Nothobranchius furzeri: one gene and its partner. Each later gene encodes a partner of the first gene's protein in a complex. Links are inferred from orthologs where the notes say so. Each region holds a gene or a part of one and is shown in the gene's direction. Other genes may lie near its edges.

Region 1 (4,413 bases):
TTTAGAAATACTCCCATCTTTTTGTTTTAAAAGCTTTTCACAGAACATCTATTAAAACATCTGCTCTTGTTCTTAATCAGTGAACCACTTCTTTTAAATGCTCCATGTTTCAGATGACAGTTTGAAATAAAAAAAACACATGTAAGTAATAACATTAATAAACTGCAACACTCCACCCTTTTAAGACCAATTTTAGGCCTTTTTTGCTTTTCTGCCCATTACACATAATACAGTTATCAGACTGATCTCTGGAATAAAAATACAATCAAGCAGCATTTTTTTTAATTCTAATACTGACACTCCTCACCAGAGTTGTGAGGTGCTGATGTCTAACCCCAGCAATCACCAGGCAAGAGGCAGGGGACACCCTGGACAGGTCTGCAGTCCATCACAGAGACACACAGAAGCAAACAAGTCACACACTCACTCACACGGGGAAAATTACCTGAAGAATATCCCTGCATGGATGAGAAGAACATGCTAACTCCATGCAGGAAGGCTGCAGCTGGAAGTCAAACGTGCTAACTTCTTGAAAAGGGGCAACAGTGCTACAAACTGCACCACCATGCAGCCCAATAAGTTTCTTATAAATAAATAAAATAAAATAAATATTTTATTTAGCACTATGAAACACACATATTATACTATTTTTTATGTTTAAACCCTCTAATACCCAAAGCTCATGACCATAGGTGAGGATTGGGACGTAGATCGACCGGTAAATCGAGAGCCTGGCTTTCTGGCTCAGCTCCCTCTTCCCCACGACCGAAAGAATGAGATCGCGGATACAAGCGGCCGAAATGAGTTTCCTCCGTAGGGTGGCCGGGCTCAGCCTTAGAGATAGGGTGAGGAGCTCGGACATTAGGGAGGGACTCGGAGTAGAACCGCTGCTCCTCCGGATCGAAAGGAGCCAGTTGAGGTGGTTTGGGCATCTGGTCAGGATGCCTCCTGGACGCCTCCCCGGGGAGGTGTTTCGGGCATGTCCTGCCGGCAGAAGGCCCCCGGGTCGACCCAGGACACGTTGGAGAGGTTACATCTCCAATCTGGTCCGGGAACGCCTTGGGGTCCTGCCGGAGGAGCTGGTGGACAAGGCCGGGGAGAGGACGGCCTGGAGCTCCCTAGTTGGGATGCTGCCCCCGCGACCCGGACCCGGATAAGCGGAGGAAGACGAGACGAGACGAGACGAGACCCTCTAATATTTTTCTTTATCATGTAAAATGTCTTAAGTATTTATTTTAATTTAATTCTGAGCTGGAAACAGACAAAGATGATGCCACCACAGGCTGTAAACCTGTCATATACTGCTTGGTCACTAGGGGGCAGTGATGTGTGACTTCTCCATATTTACCTTTAAGAGCTAGAAAAAGGCAAAGAAGACAACGCGACGCAGAAGACCGATAGCTGTTAGCATTATATTAACACAGTTATCTAATGTCTTACTAACGTATGTAAAACAGTCGGGGGGAAATCATATGCAGCGACAGAAAGAAGCGTTGATAATAAAGAGTCCCTGACAGAGACCGAGCCGTTCTGACAACATGGAGAAGCAGTTGCATTTGAACCTGCTAGCCTCCAGACCTCCTATGGCAGGTGGAATGCAGTCTAGCTCCAAAATGAAAATGGGGTGAGTAATCAACTTGTTGCGTTTGTTCCCACGTGTATCAGCTGTTTAACGTCATATTTATTTTCACCACCGTCACAACAGAGTGTAAAAATATCCCATTATTAGCTCCCTATCTGCTAGCATTATCCAGGCTAAGTAAGCTAGCTGCGGCTTAGAATTTAGTCCATCTTTGTTGAAATCACGAAACTTTTCGCTTGTTTGCATTTATATTAAACATCTGTTCCTGTCCGATAGTATTTGTTGTAACTTTCAGTGAATCTGGATGGAAAAAGATAACGGTAAGTTTAATGATAATGATTTTTGTTTATGTTTATGAATGGGTCATCAGCTGGCTGGTTTGTTCTTTAGTAAACACATTTGTGTTTATATTTATCCATACAGCATGACTCCACGGTGTTTTACATTTGGAAACTAGATATTACACCCTGCCTTTCCCAGGTTTTTGTGGAAGGAAAAAATCTAAAGCTAAACTTGCCGTTTTTTTTATTTTATTTTATTTATTTATTTATTTATTTATTTGTAGTTTTCTAGGTTTGGGTGAAAAGTTTCAAGATGAAAATGCTTTAAAATTGGTGCCCTGTACGTCTGTTGAAAGGACTGGTGATATTTTACACTTAATTATAACATAAACCAGAGGTGTTTTCTTCGCTAAAATGGTCTCATTTGTGCTGTTAAGAGTAAAGTAATGCCTAATTGCTTCTGTTTTATGTTTTCCACAGACCTGGGAGGAAGAGAGATTTCACTCCCTTATCCTGGAGTCAGTACTTTGAAACCATGGAAGATGTTGAGGTCGAAAATGAAAATGGCAAAGATATATCCTTGGCCTCTGTTTTAAGTTTGAATGACTAATAGTGACTCTTAATACAGTTGTGCAAAAAATCTTGAGCCATCTGACGTGTCTTTTGTTTGTCAAGCAGTGAGACTTTCTCATAAATACTTAAGTCATCTTTTGCAGCAGGCTTCCTGATGATCAGCAACATATTTGAACAGCTTTGTCACAATTTGTTAATCAAGCCCTTGAGCCTTTGCTTTATAAAGCCACCTTTTCTTAAATTGTCTTTGAGCCATTCATGGCTCAGCAAAGATAACAGAAAGTGATATTTATGCTATTAGCCAGAAAACAGACTCATCTATGCACAGTGTGAGGTGTGTCCTTAAAAATCAGAGGGAACTTGACAAGAATGGAGGTGGATGGATAAAAACAAACTGCCTACAGCCAATGACGGGGGGAAACTAGAATTTCAAACTGAGTTGTTTATTCTGTTTTGAGCTGCATGTGTATTTGTCGCTCTGGTTTTTATTTCTTTGACAACCCAGAACATTTTCCGACTGTACTGTAATGGCTCCCACGGCCCAGTCCTGTTCTTGCTCCATGGTGGAGGCCACTCTGCACTTTCCTGGGCTGTGTTCACTGTGAGTGTTACTCTCTAAAGTCCCTCTTTCATCACATTGATATGAAGATTTCAGCATGTTTGTTGATCACCTTTTGTCATAAATGTTTTTTTCACAGGCTGTCATATGCAACAGGATCAACTGTAGAGTGGTGGCCATGGACCTCCGAGCTCATGGTAGGTAATGGTCATCACGTTAGAGCCATGTGATTTCTTCACTGATATCAGGTTGTGAATTTGGGCGGGAGACGAGCCACTTCTTAAAATAAAATATCTATATGAGGCTTAAAATGAATAATAAATAAAATAAGTGCATTTTGAGTTTACGAAAAAAGATTATGTATTCAAAAATACAAAATTTGACCTTTATTTAATCGAGGAAGTTGATGCATACTACTAGTTAAGTTATTTTAAAGTGTTTCTGGTTAAGTTTAATACTAGAGTCACACTATCTTTACACTTAAAGTGAATTTAAAACCAAATTTACTATACTGTTATTGAGTAAAGGCAGCTTGGAGTGTCTAATACCAAAAGCCTGTGCCGTCTTTGACTGTTTTCCTGTTTAAACCAGTAATGTTCCGATGGCCACAGAGAAACGGCTTGTTCTGAAACAAGTTGGTTTATCGTGTCATAAGCTTAAACACCACTTTAAATCTGCATGCCCCAACCCACTTAAACGTCTGTTTATCGCGGTGATGCTAACTGCAGAACAACGCTAGCCCGAGCTACTGCTAACGTCCTTGTTGGACAAGAAGAAGTTGTCAAAAAAAGATTATTGAAGCTCTCACATTCCAGGATGTACTGAAGATCCAGACTGTGATTGAGTGACAGATGGAGCCACAGCTTGCCATCTTTTTCTTCAAACCCCTTCACTTGAAACCTAAAGAGTAGTTTGTGCTTCTGCATCAGCTCCACAAGTGAGAGACACACACGCATTGACAGAGACGTTTTGCTCTCGGACTTCTCCGTCTCTTTGGGAGTGTTGTAAAGCAATTCCTCACCAGGACAACGAAGGGCGTAGCGCTGTTCTGAGGTATCCTGTTTTGTATCTGGTTAAAGATGGCACATTTACTATTGTGTTTTTGTTGTGTTTTTTGTATTTCAGAGACTTTTTAACATGGAAAAATGTGTCCCTCATTCTCCTCCACCTCTTCATGCGCTTACACTTAATCTCTAAAACCACAGTTCCCGTCATTTCCATCCACGAATAAAACGCTTGCTGCATATCTTTTTACCCCTCCAGTCACAGGTGAATAAGACGTTCATATAGAGTTTTTCCTTGAGGTATTCTTTAAGCTGCTACTATCTTCGGCTGTCTTTATGCTTTTGAAGGTGCAATGGCAGTGCTGTTGACGAAAGCAGCGTCCTGACCAATCACAAGCTTGCATTCTACGTCTC
Region 2 (3,819 bases), on another chromosome or scaffold:
GAGGTTAAGAACGGGGGAAGTACTGCCGCCTACAGGTCTGGCATGTCCATAACAACGTATTTATCCGGGTACGTGTGGACAGAGTTTGTTTTTAAAACGCGGTGGTGTGGATGCAAGTTTTTGGAGTGGCGGATATTCGTTTTTAAAAAACACCGGCTACGTGTGGACTAGGCCTGAGATAGGATCTGAACCTGCCAAGCAGTGTGCCTGATAGTCCCACCCAGTTTGCGAGTCTGTCCAGAAGGATGTTATGGTCCACAGTATCAAAAGCTGCACTGATGTCAACTGTAGGTGTTTACTGCTACACCGGTAACCGTGATGTCTCTAAAGCAGTCCAAACGAAGCTTAATGGGTGTTCTGCAAATCTTGTATGAGTAAATAATTTTTACTCTGATCCAATATTCAAATTTGAATGACCCTAAAAAAAATTAAATAAATAAACACAATTCAGGCTTTTAATTTGAAGGAAGGAGTTATTCTCCAAGCCCGATTCTGTGAACAAAACCGTTCACGTCATCGTTTCACAACTCCTTTTTCTGTGCTCCCTTTAGGTGGCCGAGAGAGCGCTGTACTACTGGAACAACGAGTACATCATGAGTCTGATCAGCGACAATGCAGCCAAAATCCTGCCCATCATGTTTCCCGCTCTGTACCGCAACTCGAAGACACACTGGAACAAGTAAGCTGTTTGACTTCAGCAGGCATCTGTAGGAGCTCTGTGTTCCTTTCATTGTGACTCTCACAGGAAAACGGCTCACACGACCTTTACTGGGGTGTGTCAGAGATGACCCGTCAGTAGGTGTTTGTGATGCATTTTACTGACTTTTCCTCATTTATGTCTATAAATGCTTTAATGTACCTAATTTGAAATGTATATTCGCAGGACCATCCATGGCCTCATCTACAACGCTCTGAAGCTTTTCATGGAGATGAATCAGAAGCTCTTTGATGATTGCACACAGCAGTTCAAAGCAGAGAAAAACAAGTACGCCCCAAAGTTTTTAAGCTTATTACCTTTTGTCACCGGCAGGCGGCATTAAGTCAAATGAGTGACAGGAATTGTGATGTTCTGTTAAACAGGGAGAAGGCAAAGTCAAAAGAGCGCGAAGAGGCTTGGAGCAAGATTGAGAATCTCGCCAAATCAAATCCACAGGTGAGTCCATTCTGCACGTCGGTTCTTTTTCACCATGAAGAAGCAGCAGCTGGCAATGGAGCTCCCAGGTTTCCCACCGAGGTGCAGATGTTCTTCTGCATTAGGTGAAGATGATAATAAGACTGCTGGGGTCTCATTTATCAAACATTGCGTAGAATCCTTACTAAAACCGTACTTAAGCTCAGCAAAAAAATGTACTTACGCCAAGTAGGTTTGTGATCTATCAAACATGGAGTACGCACAGCTGCAAGCAATCTCCGCTTCATAAATAAGAAACTATCTAGAAAGTTTCTCAGCTGCTTTTTAGTCACATCCCGCCCTCACCACGCCCACTTACTGCCATAAATGGTCGATGCAAAGTGCATTGTGGACCTCATGCATATAGATAAGCCAGCTTGTTGCAGCATTTCGATCACGACCGCAGACCAAGGAAGCGCTATTTCACAAGCAGAAATTCAGGTACCTGTGGGTGAGGTGGAGAAATGAAAGGAAGTGCTTTTGCAAAACAAACAAGAGTAAATCCACGGAGTGGTACAGCGTTGCTGAAGCCGTCAATGCAATCGTCCGAGATCTGTGGCGGATATAAAAAATATGACCCAATCGGGATTCGATCCCCAGACTTCCGGGTGAAAGTCATGCGCGCTAACCAGTCAGCCAAACAGAGATCTCCCTTGTCCAAGTAGCCACGGCGCATGATCAATCGGGTCACAGTGACAGGACACACTGTCACAGACGCATGACATTCTGTCTCAATCTGTCCCCCTGCTGATATTCTGCATTCTGTATTCTGCGCTTCAGGCTGTGTGTGCATGTAGGGGTTTTGTTCTGTGTGAAAACGAAGCAGTACAAGTGATAATGCTGCAGGATTTCATAATTTTATCCTCAGCAGCACTGCAGGTGCTCTCCATGTCCAAAATGTGCGTAAGGCAGGTCCTTAGTCAACTTAAAGTTGCGCACATTTTTCTGCTAAGTTTTCTTTCATAAATCCCAAAGTTTGCGTGGAAAGTTGCTTACGCAGTTTTCTGACCCCATTTTGTGCGTAAGCAAGCTTGATAAATGAGGCCCCTGGTATTTAGCGCCATGCCGTGAAAATGAAAAAGAACACAATGCTCTAAGGAACAAGAATAACTGGATCAACATTTAAGTTTTCAATGTTAAGAGAAATTATTCTTAATATTACTATAGGTTTGAAATATTAACATTGCTTTTTATGCTAATTATGAAAAATGGGACAAAATGACAGAATAAGAATAAAAAGTAACTAAATAATAATAATAAAAAGGGGACCCAAAAATGTCTTGAAATGTATTGGTGTTTTTCTGATTTCAGAAGCTAAATGTTAAATATGATGCAGTTTTATTTCAGTGTTACCTTTAACTTGTTTTAGTTAAAATGTAAAACAGTTTTATTGACACAACTTTTTTCCCTTTAGGTGTAATATACATGATAATGACTCAAATCTCGGGGGGGGGGGGGGGGAGCAGCTGATATCAAGTTGTAAAATTTTAAATGCATTTTTGCACAGATTTAATCAAAATCTCTCACGGTGGTTTTCTTTTTTGGATGTTTAAGGGCAACACCACTGTCTTCTTATGTAAACTCTATAAAAAAGGAATCTTTTTCATCTTAGCAAAGTATTTTCTATTCTTTATTTCATCTTCAAGAAAATGTAACTCCTGTTTAAATTTGAGACATAAAAAGCGGAGACGTCTGCTGTTTTTACACTCCACAAGCAAATAAATTAATCCCCAAATGCACAAAAATCCCTTATTTATTTATTTTTTTCTAAAATAATTTTTATTCAAGCCAAATTTTTGGGGTTGTTTTAACTCCAAAAACCTCATGGAGAAATTACTTTCTTCACAGATCAATAACTAGAGTACTATAAATCAAATTTCAACAATATATCGTCGATAAAAATCAGGCTGTAAAAACAAAATCACTTCTTTGCAACTGAAAATCTTTTTTCCCATCTTTTTTTGTTTTGTTTCCCCTTCTTTTCAACGTAGTTCTTTACACATGTTGATTCCTCTGACCTCTATAGTCCTGTAGCAATGGAGACGGATGTCCCTTTGATAGAAGATGTTCAGAGGTTAAAAAAGACAGTTGAGGAGGGCGCAACTCAGGTAAACCTGACTCTCTGTGCATTTTGATATATACGCTTGCAGAGTTTCCTTATTAAGCTGTTAGTGCTCTAAATGTTATTCATCTAAATATATACATCTTTTTATATTTTCTACTCTAGTCCAAAAAGCACAGGAACAAACATTTACATAGGCAAATAAACAGAAATCATTAAACCACAGTGTGTTATATGAAAAAAAAAACATGTATAAATAAAATAATTTAAGGTATATAAATATGTCCCTTCTGGGTGAGAACATGCCCAACACGTATGAGATAGATGGGGGCATCACCTGACTGACTCGCAGCATCCATCCCCCCACACACTCTTAGAATGTCTCCATCGGAGAAATGGGCCCTTAACAAACGCGCGCGCACACACACACCACTCTGTTGGACGAGCTGACAGAAAACTGACTACATACTGTAGGAAAATATGGAGCCCAAGTCTCCTCCCTTTCCAGTCGGCTCATGGGCCCCCGGAAGAACGAAAAAATGAATGCAAGTCAACGGGGCTCAAAACGCAATTTTCTAACCCGCTT

What was found.
Region 2: the proteins of ppme1 (region 1) and ppp2r5ca are in contact, whole or in part, in a cryo-EM structure (PDB 7SOY), measured with the Homo sapiens proteins. The link is inferred for Nothobranchius furzeri from reciprocal best matches to the Homo sapiens genes PPME1 and PPP2R5C. Residues at the interface, in NP_057231.1 of Homo sapiens: Arg37, Lys38, Arg39, Asn192, Lys217, Val251, Glu252, Gly253, Ile254, Ile255, Glu256, Glu257, Pro345, Gln346; in NP_002710.2 of Homo sapiens: Asp180, His187, Arg188, Tyr190, Gly191, Leu194, Arg197, Ser230, Ile231, Gly234, Phe235, Ala236, Lys240, His243, Asp313, Gln341, Tyr348, Glu353, Tyr354, Glu399.

The regions. Positions count from the first base shown.
Region 1 is NC_091750.1:48,878,607-48,883,019, forward strand, and holds the start of ppme1 (protein phosphatase methylesterase 1), read left to right. Parts: upstream 1-1,353; 5' UTR 1,354-1,538; coding exon 1,539-1,624; intron 1,625-2,343; coding exon 2,344-2,437; intron 2,438-2,944; coding exon 2,945-3,037; intron 3,038-3,134; coding exon 3,135-3,192; intron 3,193-4,413. UniProt on the Homo sapiens protein: Demethylates proteins that have been reversibly carboxymethylated. Demethylates PPP2CB (in vitro) and PPP2CA. Binding to PPP2CA displaces the manganese ion and inactivates the enzyme.
Region 2 is NC_091758.1:28,640,335-28,644,153, reverse strand, and holds part of ppp2r5ca (serine/threonine-protein phosphatase 2A 56 kDa regulatory subunit gamma isoform), read left to right. Parts: intron 1-551; coding exon 552-679; intron 680-883; coding exon 884-985; intron 986-1,080; coding exon 1,081-1,153; intron 1,154-3,162; coding exon 3,163-3,279; intron 3,280-3,819.